5 linked regions of the Xenopus tropicalis genome follow. The protein of the gene in region 2 interacts with the protein of the main gene of each other region in a pairwise test. Links are inferred from orthologs where the notes say so. Each region holds a gene or a part of one and is shown on either strand. Other genes may lie near its edges.

Region 1 (3,292 bases), on a different chromosome or scaffold from region 2:
GTTAAAATCACGATATGCCAAAAATTTGGAGTAACCACAATAATTTCTGATGTTCGAAAATGTCACGAAAATCGTTTATTGGTCGTACGAAAATATTGTGGTTGTGTTCTGAAAGTCACAATTTTTGGATCTGAACATTCGTAAACGGCGCAAAAACCTTTCTGGCTTTGAAACCTTCAATGTATGATTTTGGAAGCCTTCCATGGCACTCTACAGATCAAACCTGGCCAAAAGATAGCCACGATACCAAAGCTTGAATGAATTCTGAAATGGTTGTATTCTTTGCGAAAAATACGACTTTCTGTGGAAGTTAACGAAAACCACAAAAAAGTTGTGGAATTTTAATGAAATTATCGTGGACATAACGAAAAGTTCTATAAGTTGGAAAAAGATAAAAAATTTTCTAAAAAAAACTGAAGGTGTTTTTAGGTCTATGCTGTCCCTTTACGTATGAAAATGGTGTAGGCATATAAGGAAACAATACACAGAAATAAACTTAATTAAGTTTTAAGAAGTTAGATCTGTTTCTGAAATATATTTATTAAAAAATAATAGATGAAGCCTTACATAAGCAAAAAAACAAAAGGGTTGTCTAAACATAAGTGGGTTTAAGCAAATCTTGTTACATCAATAGACACCATTTTTGTTATGGATGATTTTGTTTTCTACATACTTTGACATTTGTTATAGAATGTAAAAAACAAAAAAAAAAACCTCTTGCCTTTTCACAATTTTAAATCTGTCCGATTTTACAACACATCCCACAGATTTAAAATGTCCATTATGCAAGATGACATGCAACAAGATCCTCCTCTGGCCGCAACCTTTAGAACAGAAGGTGATTGCTTCTCAATGTCTTCTTAGCATTTAACAAAGTCTTTAAGGTTTTCTAGAAACTTGATGTATTCCTGGTGCTCCAAAGCAGTGCTTAGTTCCACTAGCTCATCAGCAAAAGTATTATCCACTCCACGGTCAGCCAAAAAATCCATTAAGTGATCATAAAGGGCCTACAAAAGATTCAAACACCAGTAGTTAATATACAAAGTTATCACAACGTCTTTACCTGATATTTAAGCAGGGACACTGGTGCAATTATGACCAAGTCAGTAACCAATCATCAGAACAGTCTACTTAACATACAATATTTTAAACCAACAAATGGTTGCTAAACTGAGGCCAATTTAGAAGATATTACTGATGCATGGGGCAGGTTGCAGGACAAACTTAAGGTCCCTTCCTGCTCATGACATCACCATCTATACCTCAGCCTCTCCAGTGATATTACCACTACAAAGCCCTCCGCTTTAATATCAGACTAGCTTCAAGACAGTCTAAAGACCTCTAGACAGTACAAGATCCTGCAAAGGGCTATGGCACACAGGACAATTTGTGATTTAAGCAGCCAAAAAACCTATCGACTTCTATGCGAATCACTTGCAAGACAACTTTCCCATGTTTTCAGACAACTAATAAGTTAAGTACATAAGTAAAGCCTGTTGTTAGAGATTCACACAGAAGTCATTGGGTGCTTTTGCAGTTTATGTGGCCTACTAAAAAAAAACAAAAAAACATGGTTTTCAAGTACCCAAATCTGCCTTTGGTGCCATACCCACCAGGTGGGTTGGTCATGGATTTTGACATGAAAATGTAAAATGTTGGTTTAAAAAAGCTATACCAACCCAGTCAAGTGAATCAGTGTTAAGTGTATAGCTGTTCTCCTTCCATTCTGTATCTCCTGTGGGCTGAAAGCTAACCTCCCGAATAGTAAAAATGTCACTTTCTTCCTCTTCTTCCCCATGTCCAACCTTAATTTTGAACAAGAAAAAAAAACAACTTTATTTAACCACACATTTGTTTTGTAAAGAGGTTTATAAATAAAGTCATAGTCAGGAAAAAAGTAACAAGCATTCCTTGAGAAGCAATACTGAAAAATTGTGGAAGGAAGGCAGGATTTTTAAACTTTGCATAAACAGAAGGAAAGGTTTGTAGTCTGCAGGATCTTCATTCCCATGAGCATGCATACCCAAACTAGGGTACCAGAAAGAGTGCTATCAATTCTTTTAGAACCCTTAAAAGAGAACTATAGCCAAATGAAAGAAGTAGGCCTAGAGGGGCCCTTTTTGCAGATGTAAAATAAATAAATCACATTTTGACACAGTTCAAATTATTGGTGTGCTTCTGGATTTCTAATAAGGTTTTGGGCTTCTGTACCAGCCCAAGGCAAAAACAGTCCCTCAGCCCTCCAAAAGGTGCCCCCAGTAACTCCCCATTTTCTTTTTTGCTGATTAACAACACATGCTCTGTGCTGCTATCAGTTACTTAGGGCTTAGGGACAGACACACAATATACAATATATGGCAGCTCTGAAACCACTGCAATTAGCATTAGAATTTAATAATCAGACCTTTAGCATTAGCTTATATGACAGGCCAACCTCATTTTCTGCTTGATAATTTGGCTTAGCTTCTCAACAGCTGCTCAGAGCACACTGGTGTGATAAACTAGTGTTTATCAGCCCTGTTGCATCTCCCTCTATGATAGACCAACATAATTTTCAGCTTGATAATTTGGTACAACCCCTAAGCTTAGCTTCTCAACAGCTGCCCAGAGCACACCAAGCATGTGAGTGTCTTTCCCAGATGGGGAGCTCCTGTGACACGTTTAAAGTCCTGGATCATTGCTGCTATAGAGATGCTGGTCCAAGAAGTTCAGTATATAAAATATTGCGCAACTGTAAAGTGCTGGCTTGATAAAGGGCCCAGTGAGGCCCAAAAAATTGCCTTGCTTGATGTCTACTTATGAGCTAATTAATATATATATATATATATATATATATATATTATATATATATATATTTTTTTTTTTTTTTTTATTTTTTTTTTTTTTTTTTTTTAACAGATGTTTCAGATCCAAATATGTCAGCTGCACAGGCAGTCCTAATGCTAACTCACATTGACATTAGAATGGTTGCAGACTTAACTGTACATACATATAAAAGGATAACAGATAAATGCAAAACAAAACATTTTATATTTTAGTTGTGTGTACCTCATCCTCTGGATAGTGACAGTCAAGAACCAGGGTGTGGTTGGTATCCAGTTTTGTAACTTCTACAACAAAATTGGGTGTAGACACAAGCTCAGGCTGTAAAATGAAAAAAAAAGTTTTAATGTCAAATATATATGCTACACAAATGTAATTCAGAGACCAAAAAACTGAAGTTGCCATTGAATTTGATCTAAAACATATTATACTGATCAGAGATTTTTTTTGCTGATACAGTAAAAAATAG
Region 2 (4,031 bases):
AAGAAGCTGGTTGAAGCGGTTTTCAACTGCGCAGCCAAAGTTATCTTGCATGGCAACATTATCAGGGCTACTTGGCGCTTGCTTCATTGTATCTAGAAAAACATGACAAGAGCAGTATTAATTATTTTATAATTTAAACTTCACAAGTTAAGAAAGGTTAGGAAAGCCTAATTATCTTAAATTGGAAGATTACTCGGCGTCCTACTGAATTGTATTCAATATAGGGGAAGTTTTTGCTGTAAGACCTATGGTATCCATACATGCTATGGGAAAATACCCTTGTTTTCCCATTGGATGATAAACTAGACTCCCTGCTAGCATTTGCAAAGAGATCACAACACAATATAAATCACTGTTTGCATAAGTTGACATTTGTAGACAAGTATGACTGTTCAGCAGACTGCACAAATGGAAAAAATATAAAAAGACACTATGTATAACTGTCCTTTAAAGGGGTTGTTCACCTTCAATATCCAAATCTTATTAAACCACCACCAATGTCATAAGGGTGTTCTAAAATCAATTTTCCATAAAAAAAAGTATCTGACATGATTTTTATGGTATACTATTTTGTTTACAGTACATGACAGTATTTCTTTAAATACTGCTCAAATGTAACTCACAGCTGTCTACCTATAACAGCAGACACCCTTGTTTTTGGCCTCCTTAATTCACCCATATTCCAGAAAGTAGAGGTTACCAGTGTGCAGATAAGATGGGCGCACACATTAAAGGAACAGTAACACCAAAAAATGAAAGTGTATAAAAGTAACTAAAATATAATGTGCTGCTGCCCTGCACTGGTAAAAGTTGTGTGTTTACTTCAGAAAGTCTACTATAATTTATATAAATAAGCTGCTATGTAGCCATGGAGGCAGCCATTCAAAGGAGAAAAGGCACAGGCACATAGCAGATAACAGATAAAACACTATTGTATTCTACAGAACTTATCTGTTATCTGCTATGTAACCTGTGCCTTTTCTCCTTTTTTCCAGCTTGAATGGCTGCCCCTGGGGCTACACAGCAGCTTATTATATAAATTATAGTAGTGTTACTGTAGCAAACACACCAGTTTTACCAGTGCAGGGCAACAGTGCATTATATTTGTATTAGTTTAAAGCTCTTTCATTTTTTAGTGTTACTGTTCCTTTAAGATCCGCTCGTTTGGCGAGGTTGACTAGTGAATCTTCTCCCAATATGCCCAGCTAAGGTGGACGATTTTGGGCTAATTCAATAGTTTGGCCCTAGGGCCAAACAATCAAATTACAAAGAGTAAAGGGGCAGTTGGACCAAGGACTGCTTCAGTAAGGCAAATCAGTCCCCAATCTTACAGGAAAATCAAACGTGCCCAATTTTCAGCCAGTTAGCGAATGGGGAGCCCCATCAGGGGGCCCATATACAGGCAGATAAGCAGCCGAGTCAGTCTAAAGGTGGCCATACACGAGCAGATCCGCTCAACCTACGGGTGGGCGATATCGGGGAGCATTTAGGTAAAAAAAAAAATTATCTGATCGTTTGGCCCTGGGGCCAAACGATCGGATTATGTGGGCGGCAATGGGGCAGTCGGATCGGGGACCGCATCAACGAGCCGATGCGGTCCCCGATCCGACCGGATTTTCTAACCTGGCCGATTGAGATCTGGCCAATTTCAGGCCAGATATTGGTCGGCCAGGCCGCTCTGCTCTCCCCATACACGGGCCGATTAGCTGCCGAATCGGTCCAAGGGACTTATATTGGCAGCTATAGTCGGCCCGTGTATGGGGACCTTTAAGCAGGCATCCTCAAACTAGGGAGCCCCCACCTCAAAGTTAATTTACCTGCCCCCCCCCCCTTAAAAAGTCTGGGGACCCTTGGTCTAAAGAACTCAAATCACCATCTTAAAATATGCCCTTGTAAGCCCACCTTTACATCTGAACTATTAATGTAATTATCTAGCACGCAAGAACAAAACATGAAGTACTTTCAATTTTTAGCTCAAGGGGGGAGGAAAAAAAATGATATAGGAATACAGAGCCACTAAAATGGCTTCTATAACACTAATCCCTATATAGCTAAACCTACACATACCACTTAAGTGGACTATACAAAGGCAAGAAGGCGAGCGATATGGCGTTTGCCAGGCCAGTTGGAAGCCATTTGCTCCAGGAACTAAACGCCTCCAGGGATGGGGCAGCCCGCCGCCCAACACATATAAATCCTGCACAAACAGACTGCATGCCGGGAGTTCAATACTAAATTACACGGACAGCAGATAATTAAAAACCCCGACCGTCCACTCAGAGTCAAATGGGCTTTATAACAGATTAGCACCATCATCCTTAAACAGTTGAGGCGCCACCATATTAAATAGCTGTACCAAACTGCACCGTCCCAACCAGCACTCAGCCTGCGGGATAAGCTGCGCGTTATGTATAAACTACTTTAGCATGGCTCCACCTTGCCGAACACTGATGGAAACGCTCACAGCGATATAATGGGACACAACCTACAAAGCCAACATTACAAGTAGCAAATACATGCATATAGTACCCAATCGCATTGCACCGTGCCAATGCTCCAACGCTGCGCCACGGTCGACAAGCAACTCTAACGTCCCAAGCAGAGATGCGCTAAGAAGCCGGGACACTCCTACTTCTCCTCTTTACCTCACCTTCTGGAGTCATCAGTCATCCCATCCCCATCCCACAAATATCCCTCAAAGAACACGCCCTAATCTTACGGGATTAGACGTTCAGAACTTCAGTCACGAAGATCCCGCCTCCCGGTTGAGCATTTATTCCGCGAACCAGTAAGCCAGCCAACATCGCGCCAGGCCAGCCTATCAACGCTAACGCCGCTCAGGTGCCTGATTTAAAGACATGACTGGCAAGCCCCTCAATATTAACCCCGCCTCCGCAGTTACCTAATGGCCAATCACATGCTGGCTGTGTCTGCGGATTAATGCTTTATTCAGGAGAGGGTTTCCTGTGCAGTTAATGTTAGTGGCGCAGGTGGATGGGGAGCTGTGTGATTGCGATAGTGCTGGTAACTTTCTGCCTACTGGTTAGATTGTGTTAAGGGATTTGCTGACTCCTTGGCAGAAGCACAACTAAGCAGCAAACTAACCATTGCCATAAGAATATGCACGGCGCACTGTATCTGTCTCCATAGGAGTTTCTTCTTATAACTAGAGTCTGCTCTTTTAAAGTATAAATAATTTAAAACAGGTAATGACTTGAGCTGGCCATACATTTTAAGATCTTTGAAAGATATTGTTTGTTATTGTAGGACCAATCTTATCCTGAAAATCGTTTATGATTTGTTTATCAATGAAAACAATTTCAAGCGATATTGTCTAGTTGAAGCTAGGAACACTGTGGGTACCTACCTGCTTAGCCCTGCATACAATTGGATGATGAATACATTTTATTTTTAATAATGAAAATTTTCAATCCTGCCCGATCACTTTTCTGATCGATGGATGAAAAATCAATAGATGTGTAGGGACCCATAGGGTTAAATGGCCCCTATGGCTTTAAATCCCTACAGTTTCAATTCCCTTAGTTGCTGGGCAAAAGGGAATGTATCTAAGTGAGTTCATAAACATATGTGTACTATTGGTTAGAAGGTATGGTGACCACATCCTGCCTCACTTTGTTATAGTGCTGGGAGAGAAGTGGCACCTTCCTGTTTGCTTCCACCTGAGGAACAGGGTGGATGTGGGCTGTGAGCCCAGGGTATGGGCCCAGGCCCAGTTGAAGTCGGGGAACAGGGCCCCATGAATGAGGCATTAGTGGCAGGTGTAGCTCCCTTTATAGTACACTCTAGGGGGCACATTTACAAAGGCACAAACGCTAGGAGCGTATTTTTGCCGAATTTTTCGTGTGTCCGCACGACTTTTCATACACTGCACAACTTTTTCGTACGCTTGCAGGAAAAAATCGGAAAGTTTTTGCCGCTGTTTACAATTGTACGGTATGAAAATTTTGTGACATTCGGATCGCCAATACGATATTATCGTGACTAATACGATTTTTTCGTAAGCATTTTCG
Region 3 (3,515 bases), on a different chromosome or scaffold from region 2:
ACTAAAACATCACTTGCTTGACAGGAGAAGGAGGGTGTCCAGTGGGAAGCCAAGGAGCTCGAGGAAGAAGAGATGGAAGAGCCCAAAAGGGAGAGGCGGGAGGAGGAAGACGACCACATGGAGTTCTGCCGAGTGTGTAAAGATGGAGGGGAGCTGCTGTGCTGCGATGCTTGTGTCTCCTCCTACCACATCCACTGCCTCAATCCTCCGCTGCCCGACATTCCACACGGGGAGTGGCTCTGCCCGCGCTGCACGGTGAGAGAGAAATCGTGAATCATTTGTATCTTTGTCCACATGTCCATTAGGGTGAGGACACATGGGGCGTTTTTAAAAAAGCGGAATCAAGCTACTGATAATAGTGGAATAAAAAAAAAAAGCTGATACCCGCCGTACCTTTAAACTCTATGGGATCCACAGGTTGGGAAGCTTTGCTGAAATACCCCACGTATTTTCAATATGGCGGAAAACTCTTGCAAAATGCATTGCGCATATACAAATTTGCGTCATTATATGCCAATGATGTATTTACATTATGTATGGGCGATAAGTTCATACATAATGTGATCATGTGACACTACAAGGGAAAGGGACTGTGGAAATGATGGCGCAAAGATATTTTGCGTTATTACAGAACGGAAATGATGAAGCACATTTGCATCATTACACATGGGAATTGGGGTGAATGAGAAGAAACTGAAATGCATGTTGGGAAAAGGCTACAGGCCGAGAAACGCAGAACAATAAAGTGTTTACGCTCCAATCCGTGTTTTTAAAAAAAATGCCTTGTGTGACCTTGCCCTTAAAGGGGTAGTACACTTTAAATTAACTTTTAGTATGATGTAGACATTGATATTCTGAGACGATTTGCAATTACTTTTTATGGGTTTTCAGTTATTTAGCTTTGTCCAGCAGCTCTCCATTGGGTATTTTAGCAGCTATCTGGTTGCTAGGGTCTTATTTACCCTAGCAACCAGGCAGAGGTTTAAAGGAGAGATGGGAATATGAATAGTAGAGGGGCTGCATAGAAAGATAACTAGTAAAAAGTAACAATAACAATAAAACTGGAGCCTCACAGAGCAATAGGGTTTGGCTGCCGGGGTCAGTGACCCCCATTTGAAAGCTGCAAAGAGACAGAAGAATATTTCAAAAACTATAAAAAAAACAAATTAGGGATACACCAAATCCTGGATTCGGTTCGGTATTTGGCCAGGATTTTGCCTTTTTTGGCAGGGTTCGGTTTAGTAAAAACGCCACACTTTTGGCTCACCTAATCAAATGTTTACTCAGTCACACTTCACATTTTCTAGAACAGGCAGCCATCTCTAAAAAGGTATTCTCCCTTCCTTTCCCTCCTTGCTTCATACTGCACATGTGTTTCATTCCCTCCCCCCCTCCCCTCTGGCAGATCCGCTTCTGATTGGCTGGTGGGCATGTGTAGCTCAGAACAGGAGACAGGATCAAGTTACACACATGCTCAGAGAATAGGAAGGCTGCCGCTGGCACCTACAGGAAGGGGAGAGAGATTTCAGTGATGTCACTGTAGGCTTCACACTGCTGTAGGCTGCCAGCACCATATCTCAGAGAAGCAAGCAGGGATATGGGAATTTAGATATGCAGTAAGTAGTTAAAAAGAATGCCTTTACCCCCCCCCCCCCAGTTAGCATTTGGTGCATCCCTACAAATTATGAGAACCAATTGCAAAGTTGCTTAGAATAGGTCATTCTATAACATACTAAAAGTTAAATTGAAGGCGAACCACCCCTTTAAAGCGCCATTGTCTTTGATGGAGGCAGTTTCAGACTTCATATTTCAGCAGTAGAATGTTGCACAAACGCCTGCAGTTGGATTATGGGAAACGTCGCCATCTTTATAACACTTTCTCTCTCCCGTTCCCGCAGTGCCCACAACTGAAGGGCAAAGTGCAGAAAATCCTACACTGGCGCTGGGGCGTACCCCCTGAAGGAGTCCCGCTCCCTCAGCCGCTGGATGGGGCCCAAGATGAGGAGCCGCCTCGAGCCTTGCAAGGGCGCTCGGAGAGGGAGTTCTTTGTCAAGTGGGCAGGGATGTCGTACTGGCACTGCTGCTGGATCACTGAGCTACAGGTCTGTGCTGGGCCTTTATAGAGGAGAATGTACCCCCTATTGTAAAATATAAGGATATTATAAGTCACAGAGGAGTCCCATGACCATATAAAAGCTTCTATACAGGTCATGGAGCACTGAGGTGACTTCTAATACCTTCATATTTTACAATAGGGGGTACTTTATTATAGTATACAAGTTTTAGTGAGTCATGTGACAGAAACGACATCACTAAGCACCGTTTATAAGGGTATCTTTTACCGGATATTCATGGCTCTTTTGTATTATATACATTCACATGAACAGCAGAGCTAGAGGTCACCATTTCTCTTTTTCTCCCTCCCTTCTTAATTTTTTTTTTTTTTGTCCTTCTCGCCCCATGCTGTTTGTATCAATACTACTTTACCTAAACCTGCTGTATCCTCCTCCCACCCCACCTTTCTTCCCATATAACTTCCATGTATTTTTCCGTGTCACCCCCGTTCCTTTTTCTTCCCTTCTGTCTCCTCCCTCACAGTGATCTCTCCCCCCTCCTTTCAGCTGGAGATCTTTCATACAGTCATGTACCGCAACTTCCAACGGAAGAACGACATGGACGAACCCCCTCCCTTTGATTACGGCTCCGGGGAGGACGAGGGCAAGAGTGAGAAAAGCAAGGATGCCGAGTACTCCGACTTAGAGGAAAGATTCTACCGTTACGGCATAAAGCCTGAGTGGATGTCTATCCAGAGAATCATCAACCACAGGTCTGAAGGCTGGCCCAATGGTCTTATCCTTATACGTGTCATGTAGAGAAAGCAGCCATTTTATTTGTTAATACCTCTCTGGCCACCATCAAGGTACCTACCAAAAGGTGTTATTGGTAAGAAGCATGTAGTCCTGCCCAAAACGGAACACTCATGAAAACAGGCTAAACCTTAAACCAGGGGTCCTCAAACTTTTTAAACATGGGGCCAGTTTATGGTCCCTCAGATTGTTGGGGGGCTGGACTGTAGTCCTCCGAATATCCCCCCCCCCCCCGCGTCCGCAAACTATGCCTCAAAACCTCAAACTACGCCCCCCTCCCTGCTGCATACCCTCGCTCCCTGTTCCCCCGCTCCCAAATGTACCCTCCGGCTCTCTTCTCTCCGCTGTGCCCCCCGGCTCTCTTCTCTCCACTGTGCCCCCTGCTCCCCCGCTGCGCCCTCCGGCTCCCTGCTCCCCGCTGCGCCCCCCCGGCTCCATTTTTCCCCTGCTGTGCCCTTCAGCTCCCTGTTACCCCGCTGCGTTCTCCGGCTCCCTGCTCCCAGCTGCGTCTGCAGACAGGTAGTAGCCAGGAGTGGGGACACATCTGGCCCGGGTAAATTACCTTGGGGGGCTGGATCTGGCCCACGGGCCGTAGTTTGAGGATCCCTGCCTTAAACCATGGGTTTGATCTCCCCCCCCCCCCCCATA
Region 4 (4,117 bases), on a different chromosome or scaffold from region 2:
ATTTCATATAGTAAACAACCTGTACCATATGGTATTCTTAAAAAGGTGCAAGAGGATACTGGCCATGACTTGGTAGGGTAGTTTGGCCAATTTTGACCATATGGGCCTACTTTGTGTGCCTATATAGCCAATACAAAAGGATGGGGGGGGGGGGGGGGGGAAGATAAATAATTCCATGATTCTGGTAGATCAAGGATCAGCAGTCCTCATGGCCAATTTCCAGTCAGCCAGAAGGGAAGCAGCAACTCTGCAATTTGTCTAATTTGTTCAGTGTCGACACTGAATAGAAAAAAAAGCCACACATGTACTGCCACTACAATATTCATTCATCACTCAAATGCTGTGTCTGGTAGGCCCATGTATGGGGGCTGAAAGCAGAGCTGCAAGATTAACTACAGAAGTAGGGCATAATTATTTTTACATTATGTGTTTTGCGCTTTTGTAACAGCCCTAGGAAATCATAGCCCTTTAGAAGTAATGTGCCCCAGTAGCTTCCCATCTTTTCTGATGATTCACTGCACATGTTCTGTTCTGTTCTGTTTCCCGAGCTTAGAACTATTGACAGGCTAGAAAATTTGCGACAACCCCTAGACTTAGCATCTCAACTGCACACTGAGCACGAGTGTCACCGACACTAATAAAATCCAAGATGGGGAGTTCCCGTGACAACTGCAGAAGACCTGAACATTCAGTATATAAAAGTGGGCATCTCTAGCCACTTATTTTCAGGGCTTAGTTCTTAGTACTTGTTTAAGAGGGGTCAGTAGTGCACTATTTAAAGGGGGAGTGAAAACGCTTTAAAGCTGCTTAACACTTTACTTACCAAACAAGTATGCATTTAAAAAAAAAAAAAAAAAAAAAAAAAAAACTCTGAACCCGTATTAAGACTGGAGGCATCCAAAATACTCACCTTCACCATCTTGTCCCAGCCGCAGGATACAATGATGGGATTACTGCTGTTAGGGGAGAACCGGACACAGGACACCCATTCAGTATGTGATTCCTCCTAAGAAAGACAGCTTCATTAGTAAACAGCCTGCCAAAAGACCTAGAATGACTGTTTATTTGGTCCCTTCATAATTGCAGGAGTGTCATCCTGAAATTAGTGTGCCTATATTAGACACTCAGAATACAATTGTTCTAATCACGTGGACCAACAGAACTAAAATATAGTTATAACGCTCATACATACCTGCACAGTGTATTTACAAACGCCTAAAGTGTTCCACAGCTTGATTGTTTTGTCACGGGATCCAGACACAATTTGCCGGTTGTCAGCAGAGAAAGCGACACTCAGGACATCTTTGGTGTGTCCTACAAACCGGCGTGTGGTGGTGCCACTGCAGAGGGATATTTGACACGATGACAAAATGACAGTATCCATTCCCCTCAGAACACTCCTTTCTGTGCCACCCTGCAGGGGGAGGGACAGATTCATAGCTTCCCTCTACCTAGGTTACTATTTAACTGGTCCTTTGTCATATGCTTCCCCTGCAGGGATATTCTGGTCTGACAGTAAGTGGACTCAAATGATTCTTAATGCTAAAGTTAGTCCAGTCATTCCTTCTATCCAAGTAATAAGTCAAATTCTGTAGTACTGAAACCATGTCTAATTCCCTGCTGCTGATCAGTAACTTTTGCTGAACATTCTGAAAAGCAGCCATTTAACAGGCCAGGTAATGGAACAAGGATAAGTGTACTCACGTTGTAAGATCCCACAGTCTGAGTGTTCCATCCCAGGATCCTGAGAGAGCGAACTGCCCATCTGAAGAGATAACCACATCACTGACAAAGTGGGAGTGACCCCGGAGAGCACGTTGTGGAACCCCATAGTTTGTTTCATCACGAGTCAGCTTCCACATGATGACAGTCTTATCTGTGCAGAGAGGAAAAAAAAAAAAAAAAAAAAGTCAAAGGACATAAGAACACTATTGCTGATTTAAATAAGTGGTAACCTCAACTTCTATGCAGTAAACCTCCAACAAGGCAGTTCCACACAGGGGTAACCCTCCCAAAATAAACCATGCCATCACAGCGAAGCCATGCCATACCTTGTCATTGGTCTACGGTGTCTCATTTTATGTCTGTAAGCAGGTGAAGATGTTTTTCCTTTGCACAACCCAAACTGCCAGAAGAATGAGGTTATCTAGTATGCAAGAAAAATGAAGACATGAGATGTGCAAAGAAAAAACACTTCCACCACTGCTCATACAACTCTATGGCATTGTCAGCCTGCAAATTCTTCAGTACCAAGGGCTAAGGAACAAAGTTCTAGCAAACAATAGCTGCCACTATACATCATATATCGCTCACACCATAATTAAAAGGTAAGTTAGCCCGCAAAATCTACCACCATCTTTCCCTTGCTAATCAAAACGACAGATAAAGAAAAGCTTCATTATAGTTAGGACTTCCAATGACGCATAATGAATGAGGAGCCATTTTAGCCCCGATACAGTAACATATCACACAGCGACACTAAGTAGTTACAGCAATCACATTTACCAGGGCTGAAAAAAGCAACGTGTAAGCATTCATGCTCTTGTTCTAACGATAAACGGGGTCCCGGATACCGCAATGCATATAAACTTGCGTGGATCGATAGGCTACAGTAGGCGTCTCATGCATCTCACCTCTGGAAGAGCTGAGAATCATGTCCGGGAATTGTGGGGTAGTCGCGATTTGCGTGACCCAGCCATTATGGCCCTTTAGGGTCCCCCGAAGTGTCATTTGCTCAGTCATGGCTGCGATGAGTCCGAAACCGCTCCACCGGCAAAGGATGGAGACAGATGGTAGACACCGGGCCTAAAGCGACCGAAGAGAGGCTGAACTAGGCCTCGCCTCGCCTTTTATACAAAGCGGCGTCCTGACGTAAGCGCGCTGCGCCGCCTTGCGTCAGGACGCCTTTACCCGGATGCATTACTTGTTTACATCACCAGAAACGAGTTTCAACATGGCAGCGAGTTGCAGAATGTCGTACAGTGCAACTTAGGCTAAAAAATCGCGCTACTTTAAAATCTTTTAAAACAAGACAAAAAAAGAAAATATGAATGACAACGTGAATTCCAAGCATAGGTATAAGCGCTAGAACAGAATTGGCTATTAAATCAACTGGTGACTACTTTCCCTGTCAAATAGAGAAATCGCGGGGATAGGCTGACCGTACGCAGGCTAGTTTGCGTTCTGATTGTAGCACACGTGAGAGGGTTCCCATGCTTATATGACTGTGTGCTGGCGCCATATTGGTTGTGGAATGTTAGCTGCCGTAAGTGTGGAACACGCACATCTTGGATATATTGTTGTTTAAAACGTAACTATCATGAGGATACTGGGCGGCAGGCATAAGTAGTTTTTTTTTGTCATAAACAGGAAATAAAACATTAGAAACATTAAAAGTGCTTCAAAACATGCTTTACATGTATTATATTAGTCAGTGCCCCACTGGGTCTCTTTCACCACTGGGGAATCTCCTTTATAGAGTTATCTCTGTTTGTAGGGGTACCTTTTGGCATTATAGTCCACACCTTGCGCCCTGCTCCTTACTCCCCCACCTGAACTAGGGCAGGGACACTGCAGTATCTCCTGCACTGAACAATTTCCTTATAAAAAAAAAAAAATTCTGCTCTTTAAGCCACACGCAGCCTATGGCAAAGTTCTCACTATTTTTGATTGAACCAAACTGTAAACTGGGATTGAAACCACCATTAAAGGAGAACTATAGCCCCCAACAATGTAGGTCTCTACAAAAATATATTGCATAAGCAAGCTCATACGTAAAACCCTGCTTCATCTAAATAAACCATTTTCATAAAAATAGACATTTTTAGTAGTTTGTGCTATTGCGTAATCATAAATAGAAAATTGCCATTTTAAGAATTAAGGGCCACCCCCTGGGATCATAGGATTCACAGTGCACACAAACAAGCCAAGGCACACATACATGCTAGGCCCCATCAGCCAATGAATAGACAGGGTTCTGTCTTTAACTCCCACACTACTTCCTGTTACGGTTAGAGCTGGGCAATATTTACTGATATATATATATATTCCATTTTGGTGAGATTACTAGGTCACTTAAAATTATATAAACTATCTGTTGGTTAAGTATTCATTCTGG
Region 5 (4,043 bases), on a different chromosome or scaffold from region 2:
ACAGTTTCACCATCTCCCACACTGCGAAGGTACTTCCTAGGGTTATTCTTCTTGATGGCAGTCTAAAAAAAATATATTTTTTTTTTTAAATAAAAAGACATTAAAAGAAATCTGAACAAATGCTGAAAACTGATTAAATCTGCTTTTGCTCTATCTAGTTCCATGGCAATATAAAAAGGTGTAGGAAAATGTCCTATCCAACTGTGGAACAGTCATGACTTTCTATTCAGTATGCATTCTTTTATTACACCAAGGCAATCCGCTTTGATCAACACTATACTCAAATACAAGTTACCATATTAGAAGTTATAGAATACATTTTCTATACTAGATTGGACTAGACATCTGTAAAAAAAACCCAGATAAGTGGAATACTTACTTGGTGTACAAACACATCTTCCTTGGTGTCATTCCTATAAGGATAAAAACAAAATGTTAACGACAAAAGGTAGAAATTTTCACAGCACAACAAAGCTAAACAAAACAAAAATAGATTAAAGGCTTGTACTGTGCAAATTAATTTATATGTATAGGTCAAACACTAAAGGCAACATAAGCACAAAAATAGGAATAATGCTGGAAAGGCATTTTTTCTACCAACCACAAAGCATTGCCTTTAGACAAAGAATGGGCAAATGAAAATATATTTCAACCAGCATCCTTTTTTTCTCCATAAAGCCCACATCATATAGCTCATTTCTGACATTTTAGGAAAGAAGCCATCTTATATAATTGTTTTTAACAAACCGATTTATTTGGTTTATGTGAAAAAAGTACATTTCCTTTCAAAAAGCAGAAAAATCTTAAGATACAGTCGAAAGGATAAGGGAAAGCTGAATTAAAGCATGCCAGCCCTGGCTACTGGGTGCAATTACTGTTTTTGTTGTGTATCTGAATTTCTACAACAGCGACAGGCAAAGATCATTTTCTTGGCACAGGCATTCATAGAAGTACAGCGCTGAAACCGGTAGGCAGTGCTACTTAGGAAGCAAGCAATACAGCAGCTCCCCATCTCTATAAAAACATTTTTAAACTATGCCTTCCCCAAGTGTTAAGTAATTTAAGTAACTTCTGGTATTGCTTAACCGCATATCCTGGAATATATACTTGCTAAACCATATTAAAACAAGCATTTATGGGAAGTACCACGTGCATGGCCCCGAAGGGTCAGGCAGGCTGTAACAAGTTTACCAAATTACTAATCTAAGTTGGGGCAGAAATATGAACTCACCTGTTAATGAAGCCGTAACCATTGCGCACATTAAACCATTTGACCGTACCCAAAACCTTGGTTGCTGAAAGAAAATAAAAAATCGTTAGTTTGGAGTGAGGCACAAGATCAATCTAATATGCACAATAGAGCAATCACTTTCTGGCAGCACAGTAGCACCATAAACACAGGGGGTGGGTGGTGGTTTGGAAAGCTAACTTTTACAAAAAAAAATAATTAGAAATTATAAATACTAGTTACATGCAACTTATTGATCAGCAGCCAGTGAGATACAAGCCAAAGCAATACATAAACACTGCTAGTTTAATGGCTATCTGGACATACAACTTCAATGGCTACTGGGCCAGGCACAGCTATACAGTAATTACATTGAGTAGGATGGATGGGGGTGGATGGGGGAAGAGGAACAAAAACAAAGCCCTATCCCATGGCCCTGGTAGCAACATTTCCTGAGGGAAAGTAATGCAACTGGTTGTGTGCATTCCCACTCACTGCTATATAAACACACGGAATTACAATTAAAGGCATCAGCAAACAAACATTGCTATTTGGGGCCATAAGAGTGTTGTCAATTCTTTTTTTCAAATGAAAAACTACAACTCCCAGAATCCCCGTTTATTGCCAAGCGCTATAAAGGCTGCTACTAAGCAAGCCGAGTGCAAAGATAGACTAAAATGGCTCTCATGCCCCTCCCGCTCAGGCCCAGGCGGTACGAGCAGCTCCGTGCCACAACTACTCACACACCACGTGGCTGGAGCCGGGCCAGAGCCGCAACCCGAGCAGCCGGGACACACGGAGCCGCCAATTCCCAGCGCCATCACGGCCCTCACACTCCCCCGTATGTTTGCAAAGCAAACGTGAGGCCAGAGGCGCTACTGGGGACCCAGCAAAGGCGCGGCGGCATACAAAAGAGGAGGTGGGGGGGGTGTAGGCCGCAGGCGGCGGCGGACATGTTACAGGCCCTATTCCTCTCAGGACACAGGAAGGGATGATGTCACGGCGCTGCGGGGGGGGGGGTGATGTCACGGCGCCGGGGGGGGCAGAGATCCGTCACCAACAACTCCGCGTGGCACGACACTCCACGTCGGTGTAACCGCCACTCACCCGCGCCCTATAGTAAAAGCGAAAACCGCTCCCTCACACTATAAATAAACAGATAACCGCGCCTGTTTGTGCAAATATCTAGTAATCGCCTTAACCAACGTGACTGCACAGGGGATGCTGGGAGTAGTAGTCATATTGAGCCTGACGCGCCAAATACCCAGCCCTGCCTGTGTCCGAGAGGCATCTCTCGTATGCTAATTCAATCGTACTTACCGATGACCTTCTTCTCCCCCACGGTGGCCGCCGGTTCCTGGCCGGCCTTGCCCTCCAATGCGACTGTCTGCTGCTGTTGTGTTTCAACCTCGCTGCTCATTGTGTCTTTGATGGTGTAAGTTGGCTGCTTTCGGAGGTGGTGACTCGGGCCGGCGGTTGGCTCGCTTTAACTTCCCCCCGGGGTGTTGATGGTAACTCAGGCCGGCGGTGGGGCTGCTGCCTTTCGAGCTCCCTGCTGTCCGCTCTCCGCTCCCGCTACCGATCGAACTGCCTGGCAATGGCCTTACAGACGGGTTAATCATCGCAGACATCCCGCCCTGGCTATTATCCTATTGGTCAATTGGCTTGTCAGTCTACGGGTTTAGTAAAAAACTCTGCAGTTGTATGGTCGAATGGCTTGTCAATCAAGAATCGACGCGCTCTGTTTGGATGTGTTCCTTCTGTAATCTTATTGGCTAAGGCAGATGTCAATAACAGGATTGGAGGGATTAGTCTCTGCCTCTAGCGTCTGCATTATTGGATGGGATGTAGCTGTTGAGCTCTAAGGCTGATATAAACAGTGATCAATAAAGTGTAAGGTGTGGGGGGTAGGATAAATGCAATAAACTATTGGGCAGGTACCTCAATATTTGACTTGTGTTTAGTTCAGCTGTTTCCCGGCACATCAGCCCTTATGAGCTGAAGGTAATGATACCAGATCACTCATATAAGGGGTTGTGCTTAGGCAACGGACTCTGTCTATTGTTATGGCGCTGAGTCCAAATCCAAGGTTTTATGGAAGTATGGCGTATTGCTTATTTCCTAATCCTCGGATTGTCTAACGGGCAGGCCCCCCCGACCTCATGTCTTGATTTCTGTTTGTTTCTTCGCAATGGTGTAATTTCTGCCTTATTGCTTATATTTTCCCAAATACATTACACAGCAGAGTATATTAGTGTTTTATAAATGGGCTTTAATAATAGCGGGAATAGTCACATCAGCAGTACACTTGCACAGCCTAACTTGCAGTATGCTCCATAGCTGCAATAACAGCATGCACATCGCAAATACTAATATAAATGTGATAGTTTAAGACACATTAAAATCTATCTCATATAATTTTAATAAAACTCCACAAAAGCAAATGAGAATTAAATAATATGAATTAGTCTTTCTGACTGGTTAGGTCAGATCAATAATGATGTATGAGCTGACAATTCATGGTTCAACACTGACTGATTACTGGTCTATTAAAGGAACAGTAACACCAAAAAATGAAAGTGTTTTAAAGTAATTGAAATATAATGTACTGTGGCCCTGCGCTGGTAAAACTGGGGTGTTTGCTTCAGAAACACTACTATAGTTTATATAAATAAGCTTCTGTGTAGCCATGGGGGCAGCCATTCAAGCTGGAGAAAAGGCACAGGCACATAGCCGATAACAGATAAGACACCATTGTATTCTACAGGATTTATCTGTTAGCTGCTATATAACCTGTGCCTTTTCTTCTTTTGAA

Evidence for each region.
Region 1: the proteins of habp4 (region 2) and c1qbp interact in a two-hybrid assay, tested with the Homo sapiens proteins (2 studies listed by BioGRID and IntAct). The link is inferred for Xenopus tropicalis from reciprocal best matches to the Homo sapiens genes HABP4 and C1QBP.
Region 3: the proteins of habp4 (region 2) and chd3 interact in a two-hybrid assay, tested with the Homo sapiens proteins (3 studies listed by BioGRID and IntAct). The link is inferred for Xenopus tropicalis from reciprocal best matches to the Homo sapiens genes HABP4 and CHD3.
Region 4: the proteins of habp4 (region 2) and rack1 interact in a two-hybrid assay, tested with the Homo sapiens proteins (2 studies listed by BioGRID). The link is inferred for Xenopus tropicalis from reciprocal best matches to the Homo sapiens genes HABP4 and RACK1.
Region 5: the proteins of habp4 (region 2) and ybx1 interact in a two-hybrid assay, tested with the Homo sapiens proteins (2 studies listed by BioGRID and IntAct). The link is inferred for Xenopus tropicalis from reciprocal best matches to the Homo sapiens genes HABP4 and YBX1.

The regions. Positions count from the first base shown.
Region 1 is NC_030678.2:105,094,770-105,098,061, forward strand, and holds the end of c1qbp (complement component 1 Q subcomponent-binding protein, mitochondrial), read right to left. Parts: intron 3,145-3,292; coding exon 3,049-3,144; intron 1,806-3,048; coding exon 1,680-1,805; intron 1,008-1,679; coding exon 861-1,007; 3' UTR 501-860; downstream 1-500.
Region 2 is NC_030677.2:136,235,202-136,239,232, reverse strand, and holds the start of habp4 (intracellular hyaluronan-binding protein 4), read right to left. Parts: upstream 2,811-4,031; 5' UTR 2,720-2,810; intron 2,672-2,719; exon of another isoform or gene 2,540-2,671; coding exon of another isoform or gene 2,530-2,539; intron 2,230-2,529; exon of another isoform or gene 2,068-2,229; intron 93-2,067; coding exon of another isoform or gene 52-92; coding exon 1-51. UniProt on the Homo sapiens protein: Ribosome-binding protein that promotes ribosome hibernation, a process during which ribosomes are stabilized in an inactive state and preserved from proteasomal degradation.
Region 3 is NC_030679.2:146,922,109-146,925,623, reverse strand, and holds part of chd3 (chromodomain-helicase-DNA-binding protein 3), read left to right. Parts: intron 1-24; coding exon 25-255; intron 256-1,898; coding exon 1,899-2,102; intron 2,103-2,621; coding exon 2,622-2,827; intron 2,828-3,515.
Region 4 is NC_030684.2:71,557,595-71,561,711, forward strand, and holds the start of rack1 (receptor of activated protein C kinase 1), read right to left. Parts: upstream 2,812-4,117; 5' UTR 2,743-2,811; coding exon 2,634-2,742; exon of another isoform or gene 2,506-2,633; intron 2,147-2,505; exon of another isoform or gene 2,052-2,146; intron 1,877-2,051; coding exon 1,705-1,876; intron 1,341-1,704; coding exon 1,193-1,340; intron 1,007-1,192; coding exon 911-1,006; intron 1-910. UniProt on the Homo sapiens protein: Scaffolding protein involved in the recruitment, assembly and/or regulation of a variety of signaling molecules. Interacts with a wide variety of proteins and plays a role in many cellular processes.
Region 5 is NC_030683.2:94,734,001-94,738,043, forward strand, and holds the start of ybx1 (nuclease-sensitive element-binding protein 1), read right to left. Parts: upstream 2,804-4,043; 5' UTR 2,649-2,803; coding exon 2,549-2,648; intron 1,296-2,548; coding exon 1,232-1,295; intron 414-1,231; coding exon 380-413; intron 63-379; coding exon 1-62. UniProt on the Homo sapiens protein: DNA- and RNA-binding protein involved in various processes, such as translational repression, RNA stabilization, mRNA splicing, DNA repair and transcription regulation.